2 linked regions of the Coturnix japonica genome follow. The protein of the gene in region 1 purifies or fractionates together with the protein of each later gene. This does not show direct contact. Links are inferred from orthologs where the notes say so. Each region holds a gene or a part of one and is shown in the gene's direction. Other genes may lie near its edges.

What was found. Proteins that work in one complex are often made in the same cells at the same time.
Region 2: the proteins of CD9 (region 1) and ITGA6 purify together in Homo sapiens (co-immunoprecipitation; 3 studies listed by BioGRID and IntAct, with this or other methods). This does not show direct contact. The link is inferred for Coturnix japonica from reciprocal best matches to the Homo sapiens genes CD9 and ITGA6.

The regions. Positions count from the first base shown.
Region 1 is NC_029516.1:67,955,466-67,960,279, forward strand, and holds part of CD9 (CD9 antigen), read left to right. Parts: intron 1-949; coding exon 950-1,042; intron 1,043-1,592; coding exon 1,593-1,682; intron 1,683-3,486; coding exon 3,487-3,570; intron 3,571-4,254; coding exon 4,255-4,320; 3' UTR 4,321-4,814. UniProt on the Homo sapiens protein: Integral membrane protein associated with integrins, which regulates different processes, such as sperm-egg fusion, platelet activation and aggregation, and cell adhesion.
Region 2 is NC_029522.1:15,836,943-15,841,756, reverse strand, and holds part of ITGA6 (integrin alpha-6), read left to right. Parts: intron 1-814; coding exon 815-1,070; intron 1,071-2,259; coding exon 2,260-2,391; intron 2,392-4,666; coding exon 4,667-4,814. UniProt on the Homo sapiens protein: Integrin alpha-6/beta-1 (ITGA6:ITGB1) is a receptor for laminin on platelets. Integrin alpha-6/beta-1 (ITGA6:ITGB1) is present in oocytes and is involved in sperm-egg fusion.

The DNA.
Region 1 (4,814 bases):
TCCCTCTGAGTGTCTGTACTGTGAAATGAAGCAAGCCTTCAGTAAGGTCTTACCATTTTTAGGAAGGAGCTTGCTGTTAAAGGCTAAATATCATATCTAAGCTATGACTGTTCTGTGTTCTTGCCTCAAGTTGATATTCTCAGATATCACCACTGTGGATGTTCACATACTCTGAATATTGCCTGTGTATGTGAGTTTACATAACAACAAGGCACTGAGCTGGCTGCACTTTTGGTGCAGGTCCTGTGGTGAGGCCTTCCATACCAGGCTGCAAATAGCACGGATTATTGTTGTCTAATAGTTCAGGAGTTTTGTGCTTAATCACCAGAGTCATGTGGGCAAAACTAGCCAATGTGAAGGTGCTGCAGGTCACAAGAGTAGAAATGTTGGTAGATGTGGGACTATTGGCCTCCTATGCTAGGCAAACTCTAATGTAGGTTTGGCTCTAGACTTTTTGGCAAACATTTAGAAACAGCAGAAATAATTGAAAATTTTGGATATACTTTGTAGAATAGGATCCAGTTTTGCTTTATAACTCTCAATTTATTTATTTTTTTTTTTGTTTCCAAATTGAGTACTTGGTTCAGGATTGTTTTGTTGCTTATATTATGCAACTGAGGAATGTAGTGACTTCTGGAGTACAGCAATGAGTAGGAAATAATTCTGTGTAACTAATGGAGAAAACTTAGTTTTCTCAATCCTCCTAGGAGCTCATAGTTCTGAAGGGAAGCTGTGAAGCTTATCTGTTTGGGTCAAGCTTTTAATGTGTGTACACCATTTAGGCTTACTTGTTCTAGGTGAGTAATGCTGTCTACCCTGTTTCCACTCTCTATTTCTGTACGTCAAAATACCATGTGTTGTAGACTGTAGAAGTTTTAATGACTGCTTTATCCAAAACAAGTTATTAATCAAGTAAAACATTAACAGAATACAACTATTTATCTTGTAGGTTGTTGAGGAGTTACAGGATTTCTACAGAGAAACCTATGAAAAGAGATCTCAACCAGCTGCTAGAGAAACCTTGAAAGCATTCCATTTTGCTGTAAGTATGTAGTTAATATAAAACTAGGTAGCAATACTGTTTAACACTGTTCTCTAACACATCCATAATCCTGTACAAATCTAGTACCTTGATAACTAGAAGAAACCAAAGGAGCAGTAACAAAATGCAGCTCTTCTTGTATGCCAGTATACATTTTTCCCCTTGAAGTAAGACCAATTCATTTCCTAAATAAATTTAAAAGCAAGCTGAGAAACTCTAGAGCTCTAGCACTGATCTGAAGGTACCACAGTATGTGTAGTTACATTTGTTTAAGAAGTTCATCTTTCAGCTGTAAGGAGTACCAAGTTGCCCCCAAAACTGGGGTGTGTGCATATGTATATTTAATGAGATTAAGCTCTTACTTTTGGAATCTTGTCTTTTGCTGTAGACCTTGTTTTAAAAAGTCTTTTAAATTAATCAGATTTGCAAGACTTCTAAGCAAACTGCATAAGGTCTGTAATAATAGCTAATGCAATCTAATTCTTCCTTTAATCAAGTACAGAGAGGAAACAAATGTAACTTGGTTTTCTTTTCCTGTCTTCTGCTGTAGCTGAACTGCTGTGGTATTACTGGAGGTGTTGAACAGCTGTTGATGGACACCTGTCCAAAGAAGACTTTGGCTGAGTCATTTACAACAATGGTAACTCATGACTTAACTCTCCAATAAATCTACCAAATTAGTAGAACGAGAAGCAGACCTCTGAATAAAACCTTGCAGTGCGTGGAAAATGCCTGTCATTTTTAATAGGCAGCCCACAATCCACTTGTAGAAAACCTACAGTCTCCCTCTACAAAAACAAGCAAGCTCATCAGGAAGGCAGTACTCTATATCTGCATGGTGTTGTAGCCTATGTCATTATATTCAGGGGCATGATGAACAAATTAATGCAAAAAGTTTGCATAAAACATTCTAGATTTTGTTGTCTGGAGTGCTGCTGTCATAAAGTGCCTTCCTGATATGCACTGAAGCTATTGCCTCTCTTAGGGAGGAGAATGTGAGAAGGGAGCATGTCTGGAATTTTAGTGAGAAGTTTTCCATTTTTGGAGAGGAGAGTGTAGGTAGCACATTGGTGTCTTGCTTGGGTGGTTACATCATAAACAAATAATATGGATCAGATTCCAGTGTTGAAATAATGCTGCAGTGATGCCTGTATACCACAGACAGGAGAGGCACTTTTATAGGGTTTTTTTCTACTCTCTTCCTGAAGTTTTTATGACCGCTTTGTGACCTTTATGTTCCAGGAGAGCCTGTACTAGTTCTCCCACAGAAACTGAGTTTGTTATGATGCAGAAATTTTGTTTCATATCTTGACTTGTTTATGCATCACTTGTTCTCCACCTCTCTCTACAGATAATTTTGTGCTTTCAAACACCTGCTAGAGAAATTTCAGTCTGTATTCAGATTCAGTCTTTAGTCTTGTTCATACAGTGTGTTTGCTACAATATGTGAGTGTAACTGAGGAAGAATGTAGGTTATATCTGCTATTATTCTGTTTCAGTTTGGACTATTGACTTCATCTTGTAATGTGTTGAGGGCTTAGTCCCAACTGTAGAAAAAAAAAATAGTAGATGGACTCTAAATGAATATAATGGTGTGGCTGACTGATAGCATGACTTAAACCAGAAAAATCAGTACTGTACTAATCTTTAACTGATTCATTCTTTCTGTTATATTCCCATAATCCTCAAATCCATTTAGATATGAAACTATAAAGTAAGTGGTATGTAGCATCTCACTGTGGTCTGTTACTGGGATAGCATAGGGTGGGTGGGGGGGAAGAGACCAGCTGCTAATATCCGAGATTTATACCTCTGTGTAAGTTTGTTGTTCTTTGTCTTGGCCACTGTGCACCTTTAAGGGAATAAGGCTACTTAGAATCCTTTTTAGTTGCAATGGTAGTTTGTTGTCCTGGCAGTTTTAAACTGACACTGGTATAAATCTGCACGCAGCCTACTACTTATGCAAGCAATGCAGATCCCCTCATTCATATGCACCATGTACTTATGGGATGTCTGTAAAGATATAAAAGTAGTTGGAAGTATGAACTCTGTCCTCAGATTTGTTTTGAGAAGGGCTGAGCAGTACTGCAGCTTAAGTGCTGACAGCCATTATTAATAAGCAAACTCTGGTGCAGCAACAGTTGCACCTGATCTAACTGACACTGTTGACAAGGGAGTGCTGCTTTTTACAAGGTGCATTTAAGAGGGTTACAAACTCAGATTTAAACTTTTATATTTAATGATTTATATTTAATGATATTTAATTTATATTTATATATTTATATTGGAACATCCATAGATCTCCAGAAAAATGTTGAAAGAAAGAAAGAAAGAAAAGGCCAGCTCTAAGCAGCTTTTGTGAGCTTGCTCTTTTTCTCTATAGTAAGCAAACAAATCAGTGATTCAATATGCATGAAAAACTAACAAATATGGTTTCCTTTCAGCCATGCCCTACAGCCATTGATGATATCTTTAATTCAAAACTGAATGTCATTGGCGCAGTTGGCCTTGGTGTTGCTGTGATAATGGTGAGTTTGCAGATTAGATGGTTGCTGCCTAGCCAAGGGTGCTTAGAGTACAAGTCTATTGAACAGTGCCAGACATTAACTATAGTCTGTGAGCCTGTTCTGCTGATCATAAGTACCTGTAAGGTAAAGTTGTATGCTGTGGGTCCTTGAAACAACTTGGTGTGTGGGGTACCCCAGGGACTCTATGCTTCTACTTTGGATTAGGATCTGCCTCCTTGTAGTGTTAGCACTGGCTAAGTTGTATTGAGTGAGTGTGGAGTGTGCAGGTTGAAAACATGGGCTTGGCAACATAAACTGTTTACTTCCTCTCAAATTGACTAGAAGTCTGAAATAACAGTGCTAATAAAAAAAATTGCACTTCTTTCCTTTCTTGGGAGGCAAATATGATGCAAATGAAATTAAATACGTTGAGAAGATCTGATATTTAAGAGATTGACTTGAATTTGTAGTTGATCTGTTTTGAAGTATGTAGGCTATGGGGGGTTGGTGAGAATTAACTGAAATTTGAGGATCAGAGGGAAAGGAGGCCTGGGGTCATAAACTACAGAATAAATTGTTAACATGCATTTTGAACCAGGAAGTATCTATGCTTTTCTGCACTTTGATAAGAATGTTTTTTCCCCATTCTGATTTCTAACGAATAATTATAATATATAATTATAAAATAATTTGTTTTCTTTACAGATTTTTGGCATGATATTCAGTATGGTTCTTTGCTGTGCTATCCGCAGAAACAGAGAAATGGTCTAAGAGCTGTAAATCCAAGGTATCTGCACAATAAAATCGGTCATTAACTCCAGTGTTCTCAAAGCATTTCCAAAAGAAATAAATTCTTTGTTGCCTTCTTAATGCTTTATTTGATAGTGAAGTATGGTTTGCATTTTATGTTATAGGTTAAAATGATAAAGTTCTATCTGACTTAAGGTGACTATTGTACACAAAATGTCTGTTTTTCTTGAAGCTTATCTAAGTCGTGTATATTTATCCTTAAGACCATTTCTTATTTAATAAAAAGTAAGATGTATTTTATTTTTTTGGGAAAATCATTGATGGGGCAGGGCCCAGTTGGATGGGGCTCTGAGTAACCTGTTCTAGTGGGAGATGTCCCTGCCCACAGCAGAGAGTTGGAAGTAAATGTTCTTTAAATGTCTCTTCCAACCCAAACCATTCAGTGATTTTATGTTTATGTTGATGTGATTTTAGAAGACAATTCCAAAGAATGCAAAGATCTTTCATGATCTGCT
Region 2 (4,814 bases), on another chromosome or scaffold:
GGAGCCATGGAAGGGGAATTTTTTGGTCAGAGGAGAAACCTGTATTGCTTGAGCTTGTCCTGCACTTCCTTCATCTGAATCTGCAAAAAACACTGCTGTCAGAGGGGTTTGACTGTTCCACCTCTTTTTTTAGTGGTTTAGTGGTTACACAGCTTATCCTGGTGGCTCATCATCATTTGTATTTGATTGGAATTCTCTGCCAAGGTGAAAAGAACAGCTTATACTCTGTGCTGCTGCTTTTCTCCATCCCAGTGATGGTTATCCTCAAAATGAAATGCCCAGCATAACAAGCAGGAACAACAACTCTTTCCTCCCTTTCCCTCACTGGAAAAGCTTTCAGTCTCCTGCCTGTGCCTCTTTTCTGAAAGAGGTGACGTTGGAAAAGGTGGATGGTAGTTGAAGCAGCTCCTTGTGTCTTACACAAGCATGTAGATTATTTTATTTAACAGTTACAGCTGGAGGGGAAACACAACTAGTTTTTTTTTTTTTTTTTTTTTTTTAAACAATATATAGGGTTGTTGTCTGCTCTGCTTTTGAAAGAGAGGTTAGGTATCTATGAAAGCTTTAGGGCTAAAGCCCCTGAGTTCCAAAGTGAAGAGGGATTTAACCACTCTGCCTTCCCTGATCAGGAAGTTGATTGCTCTGACTTGGGTCTGTAGATACTTATAGGGAACTCTGGGCTCTCTCTGCACTGCAGCATAAATCCACAAGGAGAATTTTTGTAGCATGAAGTACTGCTTATGGAGACCAGCCTTCTTTGATAACTTCCATACAAGCACACAAAAATAATTACTTGCTGTCTTCTATCTTGCAGACATGTGCACATCGCTATGAGAAAAGGCAGTATGTAAACACAGTGCAGGAAACCCGGGATATCATTGGAAGGTGCTATGTGCTGAGCCAGGATCTCACTATTAAGGATGATATGGATAATGGAGTATGGAGTTTTTGTGATGGTCGCTTAAGAGGCCATGAGAAGTTTGGTTCCTGTCAGCAAGGTGTTGCTGCGACTTTTACTAGAGACTATCATTACGTTGTGTTTGGTGCCCCAGGCACTTACAATTGGAAAGGTATGACCTGACTTCCTTCCTGCTACATCTAGACTGACCCCTTTCCTGTTTCCTCTTAGATTTTTTGCAAATGTTTCATCCTAAGGTTCTTATTTGCCTTTTTGGGGGCTGGGAGGGGGCAATAAGCCTTAGAGGGTTCTTACAATTTTACCTGGTTTTCACTCCTCTATCAAAAATATTCACTGAAGGTCCTTTAAATATTTCTAAAGGATTACTTATGAATGGATAATGGAACTTGGCTTGTATGTACAGCAACTTTTTCCCTTATTAGTCTTATGGTAAGATTGAGTTCTTGCTTTGACATTTTGCAATTCAACAAGTTACTAAATTAATTACAAGTTATTTGCCCAATCTTTTCCTCCGAATTTGAGCACGTTAGATAGCTGCACTCAGGTTTTTTTTATCCTTCAGTATTCTCTTTATTCTTTTTCAATTCTGTAGAAAAGAGTGCTTCCCAAATTCGATACTGGAGGACTGCAGGAAAATAACTGTACAGAGCAAAGCTACCTATATTCCTATCTAAATCTGTAGATATTTACTCAAGTAAAATTCCATGAATAGTTAGACTAAGAGACAGGGACTCTGTATCATGTATAGGAAATAATCGAAAACTAAGGGGGAAGAACTTAAGATTTTTCTTTGTACGAAGCATCTAAGAGGCCAGCCCTGTCTTTTTTCTTATTCATTTTTCCCCTAGCGCTTAGTTATACCAACAGCTGTAAGTGCTTCCCTTCTTTAGAACACTGCTCCTTAAATCATTAAAGTTTCTCCCCTTGTACAACTGTGCCTGCTACAAGAACCACACCAAGTCTTTGAGTTTAGCTCTGGCACAAGATGTACCCGTGTGAAGGTTTAATCTTCCACATAGCTGTTCCTGTCAACACAGTCTGACCAGGTACTCCGTTTAGGGCTTTACCTTAATGCAGAGAAGTGCTCTGATAGTCTACCAGCCATAAGTTTTCCAGATCATTGCATGACATCTCCATGTACTAGAGAAGTTCTGTCACACAGGCTGATCTTAGAAATTTATGGCCTGTTAAAAGGCCGATGTGGTAGTCTATGTTTGTCCCATTTAAACAGCACTCACTCTCTCATTCATGGTCATTAGTACTAGCTGGGAACCATTTATCAATTATTTTTCTCCCTTACCATTCTCATTTGCTTTTATTTTATCATTTCACTTCTTCAGGGGTGGTTCGTGCAGAGCAAAAGAATCAGACATTTTATGATCTGGGTATCTTTGATGATGGGCCTTACGAAGTTGGTGATGAGAGCCTCCGAGATATGAATCTAGTTCCTGTTCCAGCTAACAGTTATTTAGGTAGGACAAAGTACATGTGGTAAAATCTCTTTAGGCTTCTTAAACATTTGTAATCTGGTCTGATGCAATAATATGGAATGGGAGAAGAAAGCTGTTCATGTGAGGACCCACATTTACGTGTAAGATGGTACTCTGCTGAGGTACCTAGAAGTGCTGCTAAAGGAATAAGATATTTAAGAATGATAATGAAGACCTACACGACCTCAGGGAGTGATTATAATCACTGTCTAATGGTGAGTACTGTGTTCAGGACTGTAATCCTTGGTCACAAGGTCACTGCTATGTGGTATCAAAAAGTCTACTAACATTTAAGTCCCCAAATTTAATTTTCTGGCCTGAGTGCTTTTTTTATTTTTTATTTTTTTAATTGAAGGTTTAAAAACCACAGTAGCCTTTTTACAGGCTTTTGAAATAATGTAACATGAGTAACATTAATGTTCTAAGTGTGTGTGTGTGTGTGTGTGCCTTGCAGAGGAGAGTCTCAAGCTTTGTGCAAACACAAAAGCAGAAATATGTCTATAGGATAATGAATATTCCTGTACACTCACAAGATAAATCGGTAAAGAGATCGGGTTACTCTTCATTTTTTAGAATGCCTTTAGTGCAATGTATAAAGAACGTTTCTGCTCTACTATACTATATATCGCTATACTAATCTGGTGCTTTTGGCTTAAGTAGCAGATACAATTTGGGTAACTCAAAGCTGGAATTTTTGTGTTAATGAGAAGTTGAACAAATAGGAAAGATGTTAACATGAACGTAAGCTGAGTAAAGAGCCAACTTGGAGCTGCGTATCTATTAGAAGAAATAAACTTGAGCTAAATGTGAGTAGTGGTTATGGGGTGTAAAAAAATTCTAAGAGATTATTTCAGAAAGGCAAACTGATGGTCTTTTCATGTGGCAGAGTAGTGCTGTAGTGGTGTCTTTTGCTGTAAACAGTTTACTGTGTGTCTGTCTTACTAAACTGAACTTGTGCACTTTCATAATAAATGCAGTGTTGCATTTATCTAAATATAAATGCTGCCTTTGATTTGTCATAATCAAAACTACTTGAGGGCAAGGCTGGCATTCCCTGTCATAGCTGTTCCCTATATGTAGACAGTAAATATATGTGGTTATAGCTGCTATGCTCAACTGTTTTGTCTTTTCAATCTTTCACTCATATGTTTACAGGTCTTCTGTTTTTGACAGCAGTGTCTGACACTCATCCAGATCAGTTTGTATACAAAACGTTGCCTCCCAGCATACAGGTGGACAAATCAGTGGATGTAATGATGAATAGCTACTTAGGTTTGTGACCACCTGAGGTGGCAGCATCTGGTCACACAGTCTTCAGACCTTTAACATGATATTCTCCTTTCCATCCTCATTATAAATACATCGCAAGTGAAAGCATGTGACAGCAGGGATTCAGATGAAGAGTAACCTGTAAAATAAGCTGGCTTCAGAGAAGCGCTGATTTGTGATACATTTCTCCAAACCCTCTCATCTCTCACACAAAGTGGACTCCTCTGCCTGATTTTTTTGAAACTGTCTCATTGTGAATTGCTGTAATTGAGAATTTCAGTAGTAGTGGTGAACTGTTTCAGAAGGGAGATTACTATATGCTGGCTGCAGTGTTCTTCCTTGCAGCGTGCATCATCTTTCTTTGAACTTCATTGGCTATGTTGTTATATGCATTATATTGTTTTTGTTCATTTTTAATGTACTTTTAAATCTACCAACTTTTATAAAAGTACTTGGGACAAAATTCATTTAGACGTGTCCTTTAGAGCTACATTAAATTAAAATTGCCAATTTCACCACTACTGGATAAAGTTATTCTCAAATACTGTATTACATCATTTGATGTAGAACGTTAAGCATGTACAGTACATCTTGCATGTTTGCAACAGAGCTTATTGACTTGTACATAGAAGTTTTGTAATGATTTTGCTGAAGGTGAGGTACTCAAGCTATATTCAAGTGGTAATGCTTAGTCTTTTCTAAGCTGATATGTTTTTAAAAAAATGACCTTGTATTTACTGTCTGCAGAATGGAGGGCTGGGTGAGCAGTGCAATAGTGTATTTTGTGGGGGAGATAACTTAAATGGAACATGTTGAAAGAGTGTAAACTTACAAACATGCATCCACCAGTTCAAAGAGAAACATAGAATTGCCAGTATATCATACTCTGTTTCAGAAAACTTCAATATGCCACTTTAATATAGTAGGGTAATTTACTTTTCCTGTTAGCCATCCAAGCACTAAGTTCTTGTTTCTTTCTCTGTTGAAGGTTTCTCTTTGGACTCTGGTAAGGGAATAGTCTCCCAAGATGAGATGACTTTTGTGTCTGGTGCACCAAGAGCCAACCATAGCGGAGCAGTTGTTTTACTGAAAAAAGAGAAAAATCAGAGAGCGCTTTCACTGGAGCACATGTTTGA